Linked DNA regions of Tribolium castaneum. The protein of the gene in region 3 binds, or shares a complex with, the protein of the main gene of each other region. Links are inferred from orthologs where the notes say so. Each region holds a gene or a part of one and is shown on either strand. Other genes may lie near its edges.

Region 1 (3,989 bases), on a different chromosome or scaffold from region 3:
ATTGACGGAAATACAAAAATAAGAATTTTTTCGCTTACTTTGATAAGTAAACATAAAAATGTAAGAGTAGAAAATACGTGCAAGTTTAAACTTTAAATGTAAATAAAAAAAATACATACATATTTTGGGGCATATTTACAATTAAACCAAACTAACAACATTCTTATCTTGTTTCATCGATTTTATCACTTTTATCTGGCATTTCGCTTAAAACCGGTGCAATTACTTCATTAAATAAATTGTCAGTAGGTGTATCAATTACAGAGGAGTCATGTCTAACTATTTTCACTCTCCTCGAGAGTGAAATACCTTCTTAAACGCAAGTTTTTTGTTTTTATAACTTTAACTATTTATAGTTGGTTCAGTTTTATTCAAACTGTATGCGGAGTAGATGCCGCATAATAATTGCTCAAATAGTACGACACAAAATCGGGCCTATTTCCCTCCACTTTCGGACATGTTCCAGTAAGTACCTAATTTATTATCACACACAATTTTAATTAATTAAGTTTTCGACCCAAATTTGGTAAATTTTAATTATGCCACCGTCGCAAAAAATCCAAGTGAAATTAACCGACCCCATCGACCCCTTAATCGAAACCGAGCAAGTTTTTATCCCCTTTCCCTTATCACAAGAAGTGAAGAAATCGTCGCAATGGGCCGCTTGGGCAAGAAACACACCTTTCGGTATTTTGTCAGTCAGTGTTTTAGAGGTAAACCAGATTTTTGCATTATTTTTAGCTAATGTTTATGGTAATTCACCAGATAATCTTCTACGCTGCCTCGGATGAAAAAACCCAAAAACTGCTCCGCTTCGAACCGCACAAACTGACCGAAATTTGGCGATTCGTCACCTACATGCTTTTGCACGAAGACTGGATCCACCTGACTCTCAATATTTTCATGCAAGTGCTTTTCGCCTATTTTTTAGAAGCGCGACACGGAAGCGTGCGGATTCTTGTTTTGTACGTGACCGGGGGAATCACCGGAGTCTTGGGAGCGGCCTGTTTTCACCCCGACTTGGTCATTGGGGCCTCCGGGGGCGTGTATGCGCTTTTAATTTCGCACATTTCCGATATTTTTCTAGTAGGTATAAAGCGAGCGAGAAACAACATTTTTGTAATTTTTTTCAGAACTTTGAAACCTTGAATTACAAAATCTACAGATCTGCGTGTATCGGAATAATCGTCATTTTCGACATTATCTACAACGTGTTACATGCCAATTTTAAAAAGGAGCCTTTGATATCGTGGGGGGCCCACATGATCGGGGGCCTCGCAGGCCTGTTTTTGGGTCTAGTGCTCTTCAAGCAAAAACCGTCAATTGCACGCACACGGAGATTAGTTTTATTTTTGGTGGGTTTATTACTTTACGTAATTTTATTGATCTCGCTTGTAATAATAACCGTTCAGATTAAAAAATGTACTCCGAAGGATGCCATACGCAAGCGGTATGTTTATTTTTGCTGATATTTTTTTTATAACGAGTGTTTGGCTATAAATGTGCGGTAGCAAAGTAAAGCGTGAAATTACACAACTTATAGATGTTTGCGGCTATTTTTAGACGTTGGTTTTGTAAAAAAGTGAAAAATAAACGATTAAACAAACTGCTGCTTACTTGGTTGCACGCTCATCACAACACCACTAGCTCAACTGAGATTTTTTTAACGTTTTTAACACTTAAATCTGCGTTTTCTCGTTCTTTTTTTATATCTATACAAATATGTGTACGTTTTAAGGTATATTTTTTACGTTTGTTTTAGAGTTTATAGTATAATATGTTTAATTATGACATAAAAAAAACATAAATAAAGTTAGGTATGCAACTAACTTAACCGCGTTGCATGTTAAGTTGCCTGTATTAAGTCGATTGAGGTTATATTGTTTAATGTTTGGGGCTGTATTTATGTTAAATACACGTTTGCGCCCTTTGTAATCGTATAATTGGTAATAAAACCAGACTTTGTACAGTAATATTGCCTATTAAACGTGCGTTTAATTCACAAAAAGTTATTTTTTCTTAACCTCAAAATGGTGAACAAGTTGAATAAATCGTTCTATAACACTGTTTTGAGCCAGACTTTCACCCCGTGTGGCAACTATCTCGTCGTAGGTGACATTTACGGCACAATTTCGGTCTTCCAGTAAGTATTAAGTAACTTCCAGCAGCCCCCTGAACCCCAGTTCCAGCCTTTCCAAGCTAACAAACCAAGGATCTTCGATCACAAAAGAAGACCAACTGCCCAAAAACGCATTCACGATTAAAGAAGACGTCCAAATCAACAGTTTATTGACCATGAAAGCGTTCCTTGTTGTGGGGACAGTTGGCGAGATTTTGGGGTACTCCTGGAAGAACGTCAAAACGAGCAAAAAACCCTCCTGCTCGTGGACAATTGAAATCCCGAACTCCAAAGACAGTTTCGACAAACCTGACGTTAATTGTTTAGTGTTTGAGCCCGAAAATAATTTATTATTTGCCGCCTGTGGCGATAATAATGTTTACGTTTTCAACATCGAGACACGAAAAGAAGTGCGGTGTTTTAAAGGGCACAAGAATTACGTTCACTGCATCAATTTCTGGTAAGTGATTACAGGAACCTGTACTTTGGTCACATGGCATTTCAGTAACAATAAACTGGTTTCGGGGGGCGAAGACGGGCTTGTGCTGCTATGGGATGTGAGAGGAGGCCCCCCAGTGAGCAAAATCGAGCCCCACAGTAGGGATAAAGTGGCCAGGGTGGAGCTGGGGCCCTGGATAGGGGGCGTTGGGATTAACGATGATTGGCTGGTATGTCAGCAATTTTGGGCGAAGTGGCCCCCCTTAAATGATTTTTTAGTTGTGCGGCGGCGGCCCCCGACTGTCTTTATGGCACTTGCGCTCCCTGAATATCGCCACAGTGTTCCCCATTGACGATAAAGGGATTCATGTGGCGGAGGTCTACCAAGACAGGATTTTCGCAGGGGGGCGCTCTAATTTATTCTACCAAATGAGTTTTAACGGGGACATTATCACGGAAATTCCGACGTCTCCTGTGACCACGTACAGTGCGGTGCATCAGGATGAGCCCTTCCAGACTTTGTGCATTGCGGGGTCGAGCCCCAAAATCGACGTTTGTAGCAACTTTATCTACAAAAATTTGCAACTATCTCTGTATTAAGTCTTTAGTAAAATAATAAACCATAAATAATTCGTCCAGAATTTGAATTTGACAGCTGTCATTGATGCTCTTTAGGTTAGGATAAGGTACCGTTAAAGAGTCAAAAATCGCTCGAATGTGACCCCAAATCGTTTATAACCCTTATTATTTTTTTAAGAACAATTAAGTTACAGTATGGCCAAGTTTGAGTGCTCAAATTGGCGTATTATTGTGTGAAATCGCAAATTTCATATTTAAGTTGGCAGGACTGTATTAAAAGACAATTTAAACTGTTTGAAATAAATTTTTAATAAATAATTTGTACAACTTTTATTTACAAAAATCCGTGTCCGGCTATAACCGCCGGTATGAACCCCTCCTCTCCCTCCTTGTTGCGCACCCAGAACCACCCCGGCACATGGGTACCCTGGAGTACCACAACGTCGCCTTTCTGCACCTGAAGGGCATTTTTTTCGGTGCCAAAGTAGTCACTGTTGATGACTAGGAGTGTTTGTCGTTGGATTTTGCCACGTTTTGAGGATGCCAAAGCGCTGAGGTAGAGTCGATCGACGCTTCTTTCTTCACAGGTGCTTGAGGGGCGCAGTCTTCGGCTGTGGCAGCGCGTCTCGACGCTACATTCCGACTTGGAGCTGAGTTTTTCGGTGTCGGTCATGTTGCCGGAGGGTTTAGGGAACACATCGGTGCTGTTCTCCCAGCAAGGGGCGGTGGCGTCGTCCTCAGGGGGTGGGATAATGCCTGATATAATTTTTTTGATTTTACCATTTTAACAAAATTTTCAAAAATTAAAGCTACAAACAAATCATTTTCATTGAAACATTATTGCACAAATTAC
Region 2 (4,500 bases), on a different chromosome or scaffold from region 3:
ATAGCGTAAAATTTAATGTGACATCAAATGTGATAATTAAACGACAAGCAAAACGTGAAAAATTAGCGCTAGCCCGGCGCATCCACCATTTTTGAACATTGAAAACCTCGCTAAAAATACTTAATAAGTAAATTCTTCGTTAAAGTTAAAACTTTTGCGCTTTTTGGTGATCAGTTCTAAGATCAGTCGTTTGCAAAATAGCGGTAAATTTAAATTTGTGTCACAAATTCTGTGACAAAGTTGAGATTTTACCCGAAATTATTGCTAACCCGGCGCATCCACCATTTTTAAACAATATAAAAATGGTACAAAAAGTCAAAAGTCGGCTCTCTGGTGGTCAATTCTAATGTCAGTCGTTTACAAGATAGCGTAAAATTTAATGTGACATCAAATGTGATAATCAGATAACAAGAAAAATGTAAAAAAATAAATGTTATCCCGGCGCATCCACCATTTTTAAACATTTTTTTATGCCAGAAAAAAATTAGTAATGTTAAACTTAAGGTTGTTGCGCTCTTTGGTAGTCAATTCTGAAATCAACGTTTGCAAAAAAGCGTGAAATTTGAGTTTTGACATAAAGTTGAGGTTTAAAATATGATTTGAATTTAATTTTTAGCTTACCAATTTTTTCAACTTATTTTTCAATAAAAATCGTTTTTTTTTTTAAAATATCCCTTGGTTTTCCACTGTAAAAAAACAGGATTCAGTGACGAATTATATAGTAAATTTTCGCATTTAATCATTTTTAAAATCCTCTTGAAAATATCAGTTTATAATCGAATATAGTGCGGTAAAACTTTTATTAAAATAGTGGAGTGTTAAGAGCGTAACGAGTTTGGCAACAAAACTGTTTACCTAAATGAAATTCAAAGCAAAACACAAAAACACTTCATTTATGTTTGCGCAGTTTTAATAACGTTTAGCGGTGTTTTATGCCTCGAAACAATTACGAAATAATTAATCTAATTTTTTTATTTTTAATAACAAAGCTTGCAAATTTATATTTTTTGGGGGAAATACATCAAAGCTAGATGGAGCCACTTCTGGCGGCGCATTCAAATGGCGAATAAATCCCCATGCCGTATTTTACTTTGTCCCAATTGTCTCAGAACGTTTTAAAGTCGGCGTTTTCTTTTTGCGGCATAAACCGTCTGTCTAGAAAATTAAGAAATACCTCGGTGAACTAATTCGCGTAAAGTCGTGCGGAAAGCTTTTCGTTCTCTTGTATAATGTGTTTTCGGACAGGCGATAAAATTTTATCGTCGTCCAGCAATATTTCCTACGTGTGATCCTATGTAGTAGTTCTGACGCGACACCTTTTTTATCATCTTGAGAACCCGTCCACATCCTCGATAACCAATACAAGAGAAACGTGCCACTGCAAACCTGGTCCTTAGCAAAATGGATGAGTAGTCAAGAACATCCAAGTCCTATCTTAACACTGCTCGATTTTATACCTGGAGAATTTTACGAGCGCTCGCGTGTAAACAACACTTGGAAGGAGATTGAAAAATACTACAAAAAACTATTAAATTACGAAGTTTACACGATTAGAATAGCTCCTGTTTATTGGGCCAAGTAATTATTCGGGGACCGATAATTGCTTTAATTCGGGCGGAAAGCGGCAAGAAGTGCGCGATGTTTAATTAAAGCAGGTAAAAACGCGTTCAAATTTCGCGCCATTCACAATTCACCCATATTTAGTGAAATAATCACGAAAATCGCCCTTAATACAATAGTGATTACCATTTACAGTCTTGATATTAAAAAGTGCGATTTTATTTTTTTTAATGTTTTTACACGAACGACAAGTCCGGTACTCTGAATGATTATATAACGACCCAAATGTTACATAATCCGATTACGTAACAACTAATAATTGAAATTATCCAAATTATTTATAATATAAGTCGCAATGTTTGGATTTTGATTTAAAAACACAGAAATTAATTCGTTTAAACCAAGATGTGGTGTCCTGAAACAAAATGGCGTCTGTTGTCTGTCAGTTTGCGCATTTCTAACCTCAAATTTTTTGTCGGCTTGTTTACATAATCTTTTTTGCTTAAAAAAATGGTTAAAGAGTCAAGTAGTTTGAAAAAAAAGCGCAAAAGTGGGACTAGTGCCGACAATGAGGCCGAAATCGACATTTATAAAGTAATTACGCCTCCCTAATTTTGGTTATCACATTTATTGATTTTTTTGCAGAAATCGGTCGAATTTGAGGAGAAAGAGGCCCTCAATCGACCGAACGATACCGACGCTCAGATTTACTTCAACACGTGCAAAGAAATTCGGCATTTATTCGCCGAAATAAGTGAACTGAAAATGAAGAGTGGGTCTGATGTAAATTGGAATTTTGTCGCTTTTTTGTATATTTTTTGGGTGTGCTTTGTAGGTCAGGGCTAAAATTACGGAAAAAACCACCGAAGTGTGTCTATTATTGGTGCTTTTGAAAAAACTGAACCGCATGGAGAAGGTGCGTTTGGTTTTTCCAAAAGAACAATTGGCTGCGGAAAAACAAAAAGTGGACAGTATTAATTTACAATATCAGAACTTGTTGTACGAGGCTAACCATCTGATGTCGGAATATCGCAAATGTTTCCAGTTCAAGTAACGAAAACCCCCTTTTTGTGTAAACCCCCCAAAAATTTCTTTCAGGTCTAAAGACGAGCACATCGAGCTGGTCCCCGTTGAGGAGTTCCTCGCCGAAGCGCCGAAAAATTTAACGACAAAATTCAAAAAAGTTGGTTTAATTTTTTTAATTTCAAAAACTTTAAAAAAAATTTTAGTTTGATGAAACCGACGAAATGGCGAAGCACGAGCTGCGGCTCGCGCGCCTCGAGTGGGAGCTCCAGCAGCGTATTCATTTGGCCGACATGTGCAAAAAACTTGAAGAGGAGAAGAAAAAACTAGAGGGGGATATTGCCGAACGTCGCAATAAATTGGATAAATTGGGGCCCCTCTTGTCTTCGGTCATGGAGGCCACGAAACCGGTGCAGGAGCACCTGGGGCTCCACATTGACAAGATCCAGGCTGAACACAAGCTTGCCTCGCTTCTACCCAACCCCCTTTACTTGTTTTATGCCAATATTGACGCCTACAGACAGGTGAACGACTCGGGGATGAGTGTGGAGATTATGGGGGACCAGGAGGAGGCTAGTCAATGGAAGGAGTTGGAGTTGGCAGAGGATGAAGAAGAGGAGGAGGAGGACATGGAACCGGAAGCTGAGATACAGGAGGTGGAGGAAATTGTCGAAACGAAGAAACGGCGTCACCGGAAGTCGGTACATGTTGATCCACTTGAGGAGAAAAAACGCAAGTTGTTACAAGTTCACCCGCTTTCTGTACAAGTTACTGTCACTACTAAAGACGGTCCTTCAATTAAAATTCGACTAAGTTATTACGCAAAATTGGAAATCGTCACTGTATCTTCAAGCGTCAATATTCCGAGCAATATTACAGGTACTTGACCCACTATCTACAAAAATCCTCTTTTAGACAAAAAAAAACGGATAGTTACAGGTATTTTGTGAATGATAAGGAAAAACAACATAAACTACACCTTTTTTACTTGGTTTGTTTTCCGTCTCTATTTACAATTGAGTCATGTCCTGTTATTATCGGAATATGCTGAAATTTTGCATACTCACGTAATATCCGTGAGCGTGAGCAGCAAAAAATTCTTCTCGCTTTTAAAGGGAAAATCATACTTTCTTACTTTTTTACTATAATGGAGGAAAAAATGCAAATTTTTTTTAGTGACCCCCGAGTGTCTTTCTTACAGGAAACGCAGCTCGTGAGGTCTTATCAAACGAAAGCGTCCTCGTGGAGCTGGTGGAGGGCGACTTCGGGCTGGACAGCCCCAACCCGTGCACCCCTTACCAACTGAAAAAAGTCGGCTTGGGGTCCTTCCAAAGCCTCGTCCCAGAGCTTGGCTACGTCTACACGTGGGCGCAAAAAATGTGCGGCATTGATTTTTTGAATAAAATGTCCGGTTCGGATCAACTGAGCCAAACTAACGTCGAGTCGGTCATGAAAACAATAAAAAAGCGCCTAAAGTCGCGGTATGCCTTGGCGAAACAATTGGAGGAGTTGGAGCGGAATGTGATTCCTGTTTTGCCGGCTAGTGTCGATTTGCCGCGAACCACGATTTCGAGTCTTACGAAATGGTCATCAGGGACGTATCAAAGCTTTTGCGAGGCTAAATTTACGGAGGGTTTGCTAGAAGCTGAGTTAATTTCGCCGAATGATATTTTCTATAAAGCGACAATCACGCGTGATAAAGGTAAGTTTGGTGAGTCACGTGATTAATTAGTGTTTTTTTTGTATTTTAGCAAATTTGCAAGCTTTTGTTGTTATCAAGAACGATTATCCGTCAATTCCACCAATTTTTGCGCTTTGTTTGAACTATAACGGGACTAGACATTCGCAGAATGATGATAATATTCGGGTTTGTTGGTAATTTTGGGTTTTTGGGTTGGTCTCACTCGTTTTACAGGA
Region 3 (4,500 bases):
ATTAATTTACTTAGAATTTAAGCATGACTAGAACGTGATAACTACGTCATTGAAATTATCATAAAACACAAGTGAAATGATAGTTCCTTCCGTTATCAAACTTGGTGTTACCAACCAGGCATAATTAAAATAAAAAATAACGAGTATTTTCGCCACCTTCAAAACCTTGACTTTATTATTACATTATTAATTTCAAAACAGAGCTGTTAAAATTAATAAATTAAAAAGTACAATCTTGAGTGATAGTGCCGTGCGTAAATATTTACACGTACAGGAAATAAACTGTATGCACCTCGTTAAATAGAATTATTTGTTGATCTCAAGGAGGAATGTTTAACTACTGGCGCATGCAGATTCAAACTTTCCGAGCGCTTTTCTGGGTCAAATAATGAATCTGTGTGCACATGTTGAAAGAATTATCTCACAAAATAAAAGCTTTAGTGTTAACGACAAGGTTTAATGTGTGTTATTAGCCGTCTCATGGCCTGAACTACTGGAAAACTAACAATTATCGAATTTTACGTGTTTATACGTTGTAAACACATGGTAGAGATTATGTTTATGCAGCTAATAGATATTCTAATCAAGAATAAACAATTTGGTTTATTGAAAATAAATGCTTGGATTGTACTACGAAGGTGAAAGTAAATGAGTATATGCTGTAATATTTGTCCCGTCCTTATCTAAGAATTCGTGTTACTTAATCTGCAGATAAGGACGCCTCATCGCGTTCTCAGAAAATTTGAAAAAAATTTAAATGATATTGCGTTGCGTTGTTGGAATTTTTTGAGGAAAATAAACACTGCCGCGAGTAGCAATAAATAATTTCGACGGCGTCAAAATTAGACTCACGTTTTTTATTGGTCCCTTCATGTTTTTGGCGGTGCATTCCTCGTCAGACGATGCCTGCAAAATAATTACAGTGAGATTTAGAAAAATGTAGGCCAGTGTTTAATTACCAGCACATGTCCATTCTGCTCGGATCCTCTGTACACGTTCCTCTTATTGATGCACTGCAAGGATAATAAATTATTAATAATAAGGATCAATTTCATTTGGTCAGCACTAATGAAATGTTAATAGCTTGATGAGCCACCCAAAAAGCCGGAAAACGTGCCGAGTATCCACAAATAATTATTCACCGTATATCCATTTGCGTAGCCTCCGGAGTAGGGGCCGTATCCGTTCGAAATGACCTTTTGGTGTTTGGTATTTTCGAAATCTACCCCACTTAGTAGCTCTGTCACAGCATCACCTGCACCCTCTTCCATTCTCGCTTCTATACTGAGGATTTGAGGACGCATGCGTCCACATTTTACAAACGCAAATTTTTTGTTGGTTGATTGCGACTCGCGTGATACCGTGAGACAACCTTGCATTCAAAAACTTGCGGTCTTTCCGAATTTTCCCCAAATAACAGAAACTGAACAACCGTAAACTACATCCACTCGGACGTAAAACCGCAAGCAAAAAACGCAATTACTACATAATTCTCTACAAAAAAAATTTGATTGTTCTTAACCACAATTCCGAAAGCTTGACATTTTGCCCAAAATTTGGTGCTTTTTGCTCCAAGTTTCGAAAATCTGGGGTCTTTGGTTCGCTGTTGGCAACGCGTGGGCGCCCATGTTGGGAAAAATGACGCTTGGTTGCTAAAAATGGCAGGTGTTGTTAGTAACGATGTTTGGAAAAGTTGGGAAAAATCGGGAAAAACAGAGTTGTAAGTGCACATTTCACTGAAATAATGTGGTTAGGTTCATTTGCTCGAATTTTGCATCCGTTTCGTGTGTTAATACGTGTGGGAATTGCAAACACGAGTCAATGTCCACACGTTTGTGTATTGTTGATTTTGCGTTTAATTCTATAATGAGTGGTCAACGCTAAGGTTCCTGCTTATTTCAGTGTTAAAACATGCATGCAGTTGTTGAAAGATGACACCAAGTCCCCGGTTTTTGACAAAAATGGGAGAGTCTCAAGTCTCATAACCAACATAAATATGTTGATTGACAAAGGACTCAAAGGGCAGTTGAAAGTGGAGGCTGTTGTTTCAACGCTCCAGGAGCTTGTTGTAAGCTTGTTGTAGTCAAGAGTCACAAAAACTCAAGTTTTTTTTGCAGTCTTTACATCCTGATGTTCCTTCGGTAATTTTAGACGTTTTAAGTATCACAGACTCTTCTTGCATACCTGATAGCAGTAACGACGATTCAAAAGAAAGGAACAATTTGTGTTTTATCATAAAAGAATGTGAAAAGGTAACGTCTTAGCCAAATGTTAGAAGCTGATCTAATTTTCAGAAAATTTAGTTGCTTTCAGACCAATTGTTGAAGGAACGGTTAGAAATAGACACGCTACAAGAAGTTGGCATCTTGAAAAACAAAACGTTTTATTCAAAGTTTATTAAAGTGAAGACAAAACTATAGTAAGTATAATTCTAAGTTTGAACCGCACAACGTAGGGAAAATTAATTTTGGAGCACAAAATTAGTTTTCCAATGACGTGCTAGAGCAAGTGCATTAAGACTGTCTCAAATAAGAGAAATATTTGAGATTTTGGATGATGCTAACAAGTTACAAAAAAACAAAAGTTTAATAGGTGATTGTTCATTGTTAAAGAAAAGATAGTTTATATATTTTTATTACACAATGTTATAATGAGTTTGGCACTGCAATTACATAACACATTTAAAAAAAAATGACACTTTGATTAAAAATTTGTCTTTATATTATCTATCGTAAATTTTAGTTTAATTTATGATTTGTCAAGTTGGACTAGTAATAAATTCTACGAAAACAATTTACATTAAATTACGACAAATACGAGTAATAAGTGCAAATATTATAATGCGATGTCTGCGCTGTTATCGACTACATATTAACACATTTTATTATTTTTCTCAAAAACGGTACATTTACAAAAAAATCACCTATAAGTGAATTTTATTTTTAGCTACAAACAGCGCAAATTTAACTTATTTCGCGAGGAATGTGAGGGTTTCGCAAAATTACAAACGGAATTGAACCAAGAGTTTGGCGAAAATACCAGTCATGAGGACGTCCTAGACATAGTTCAATCATTAATTGGTTGCTTCAACCTCGACCCAAACCGAGTCCTTGATATAATTCTGGAGAGTTTTGAGAATAAACCAAAAGACGCGCGAATTTTCGTCCCTCTAATATGCTCGTATATGAAAGACCCGAAAATCGTGAGTGAAGTTCTAGCATCGAAATTCACTTTTTTGCGAAGTAGCGAAACAAATGTTCCTCGATCTCTATACGTATTAACGGCGCAGTTGTTACAACATAACATTATATCACTGGACGACATTTATCTTTGGGTAATGAAACGATTTTTTCAAGACTTGTTGGCTCATGGTTGATTTATAGTTAACACCTGAGGATAAAATCATGTTTAAAGAGTGTGATAAAGCGATGAAAGATGCAAAAGAATACGTGCGTAAGCTACAAGTGATCTCGATAAATAATAAGGAGAAGGAAGAAACGCCCGAAGAGCCGGAAAATCTCATGGAAAAATTTAACGCGAACCAAAAGTTGGGGCTTTGCGAGGCGTTGCTTTCAGTCGGTGATTGGAACAATGCGAAAAATTTGATAAATCGTCTGCCTGATCACTACGCACTGTCATTCCAACCGATCGCGTTAGCACTGTGCAAATTGTTGCATTACATCGTTGAACCTGTTTATAGAGAGTAAGTTAAGTGTAGGGTTAGCTGTGAGGTTTCCACATTGGTTGTTATAGATTTTGTAAGTTGGGACCAAAAATCAAGGGAAAACCTATCCCGCGCCATGAAAATCCCCTCAGCCCGAAACAAGCAACCTCATTTTTGGAACTTCGAGATCATGCCATTCCTATGTTGATTACTTTAGGAGCTTCGCTCCGTTTTGATCCCGTTTTGATGTACAAAGTGATAAGAATTTCCAAAGCGGCGTTAAATTCCTATGGAGTAGAGTCGTCAAAATCGCCTTGTCCGTCTGGTGATACGTTATATTACGATATTTTGACTTTGTTGGACACGACAATACTGTCGTCACTCTCGTACATGGATTGCAATTGTTGCATCGCAGAGGAAGTGTGGACGGTCCTCAAACTCTACCCATATCAGAATAGGTACTGTCTTTACAGCCGGTGGAAAAACGAGACGTATTCTTTATACCCCGACTTGTTACGAAAGCGCGGAGATTCCGAAAAACAAATCAAAAATATCATGAAACGAGTCAGTAAGGAAAACATCAAACCTGTAGGCCGCCTCATTGGCAAACTCACCCACTGTTCACCGGGATTTCTGTTCGATTACATTTTACTCCAAATTCAAGTTTATAGCAATTTGATTCACCCAGTGGTCGACTCTTTGAAATATCTGACGAGTTTATCGTACGATGTTTTGGGCTTTTGCCTCGTTGAATGTCTAGCGAACGCCGACAAGAAACGGGTAAAACATGATAGCACTTCGATCTCTTCGTGGCTACAAAGTCTCTCGAGTTTTTG

What was found. The genes of interacting proteins can lie anywhere in the genome.
Region 1: tho2 (region 3) and thoc6 share a complex: the UniProt entries of both Homo sapiens proteins name them as parts of the transcription/export (TREX) complex. The link is inferred for Tribolium castaneum from reciprocal best matches to the Homo sapiens genes THOC2 and THOC6.
Region 2: tho2 (region 3) and thoc5 share a complex: the UniProt entries of both Homo sapiens proteins name them as parts of the transcription/export (TREX) complex. The link is inferred for Tribolium castaneum from reciprocal best matches to the Homo sapiens genes THOC2 and THOC5.

What each region holds. Positions count from the first base shown.
Region 1 is NC_087395.1:25,800,215-25,804,203, forward strand, and holds thoc6 (THO complex subunit 6), read left to right. Parts: upstream 1-1,849; 5' UTR 1,850-2,030; coding exon 2,031-2,143; intron 2,144-2,189; coding exon 2,190-2,579; intron 2,580-2,624; coding exon 2,625-2,787; intron 2,788-2,836; coding exon 2,837-3,157; 3' UTR 3,158-3,189; downstream 3,190-3,989. Other genes in the region: DNA oxidative demethylase ALKBH2, read right to left, coding at 1,618-1,633; protein rhomboid, read left to right, coding at 540-713, 766-1,086, 1,134-1,469; uncharacterized protein LOC103314375, read right to left, coding at 3,471-3,892. UniProt on the Homo sapiens protein: Component of the THO subcomplex of the TREX complex which is thought to couple mRNA transcription, processing and nuclear export, and which specifically associates with spliced mRNA and not with unspliced pre-mRNA.
Region 2 is NC_087399.1:3,175,903-3,180,402, forward strand, and holds the start of thoc5 (THO complex subunit 5 homolog), read left to right. Parts: upstream 1-1,971; 5' UTR 1,972-2,070; coding exon 2,071-2,154; intron 2,155-2,205; coding exon 2,206-2,343; intron 2,344-2,395; coding exon 2,396-2,610; intron 2,611-2,658; coding exon 2,659-2,743; intron 2,744-2,789; coding exon 2,790-3,462; intron 3,463-3,784; coding exon 3,785-4,285; intron 4,286-4,334; coding exon 4,335-4,450; intron 4,451-4,498; coding exon 4,499-4,500. UniProt on the Homo sapiens protein: Component of the THO subcomplex of the TREX complex which is thought to couple mRNA transcription, processing and nuclear export, and which specifically associates with spliced mRNA and not with unspliced pre-mRNA.
Region 3 is NC_087402.1:8,544,736-8,549,235, reverse strand, and holds the start of tho2 (THO complex subunit 2), read left to right. Parts: upstream 1-1,565; 5' UTR 1,566-1,658; coding exon 1,659-1,720; intron 1,721-1,902; coding exon 1,903-2,068; intron 2,069-2,117; coding exon 2,118-2,252; intron 2,253-2,303; coding exon 2,304-2,419; intron 2,420-2,946; coding exon 2,947-3,334; intron 3,335-3,383; coding exon 3,384-3,703; intron 3,704-3,753; coding exon 3,754-4,500. Other genes in the region: serine palmitoyltransferase 2, read right to left, coding at 853-906, 960-1,013, 1,143-1,379. UniProt on the Homo sapiens protein: Component of the THO subcomplex of the TREX complex which is thought to couple mRNA transcription, processing and nuclear export, and which specifically associates with spliced mRNA and not with unspliced pre-mRNA.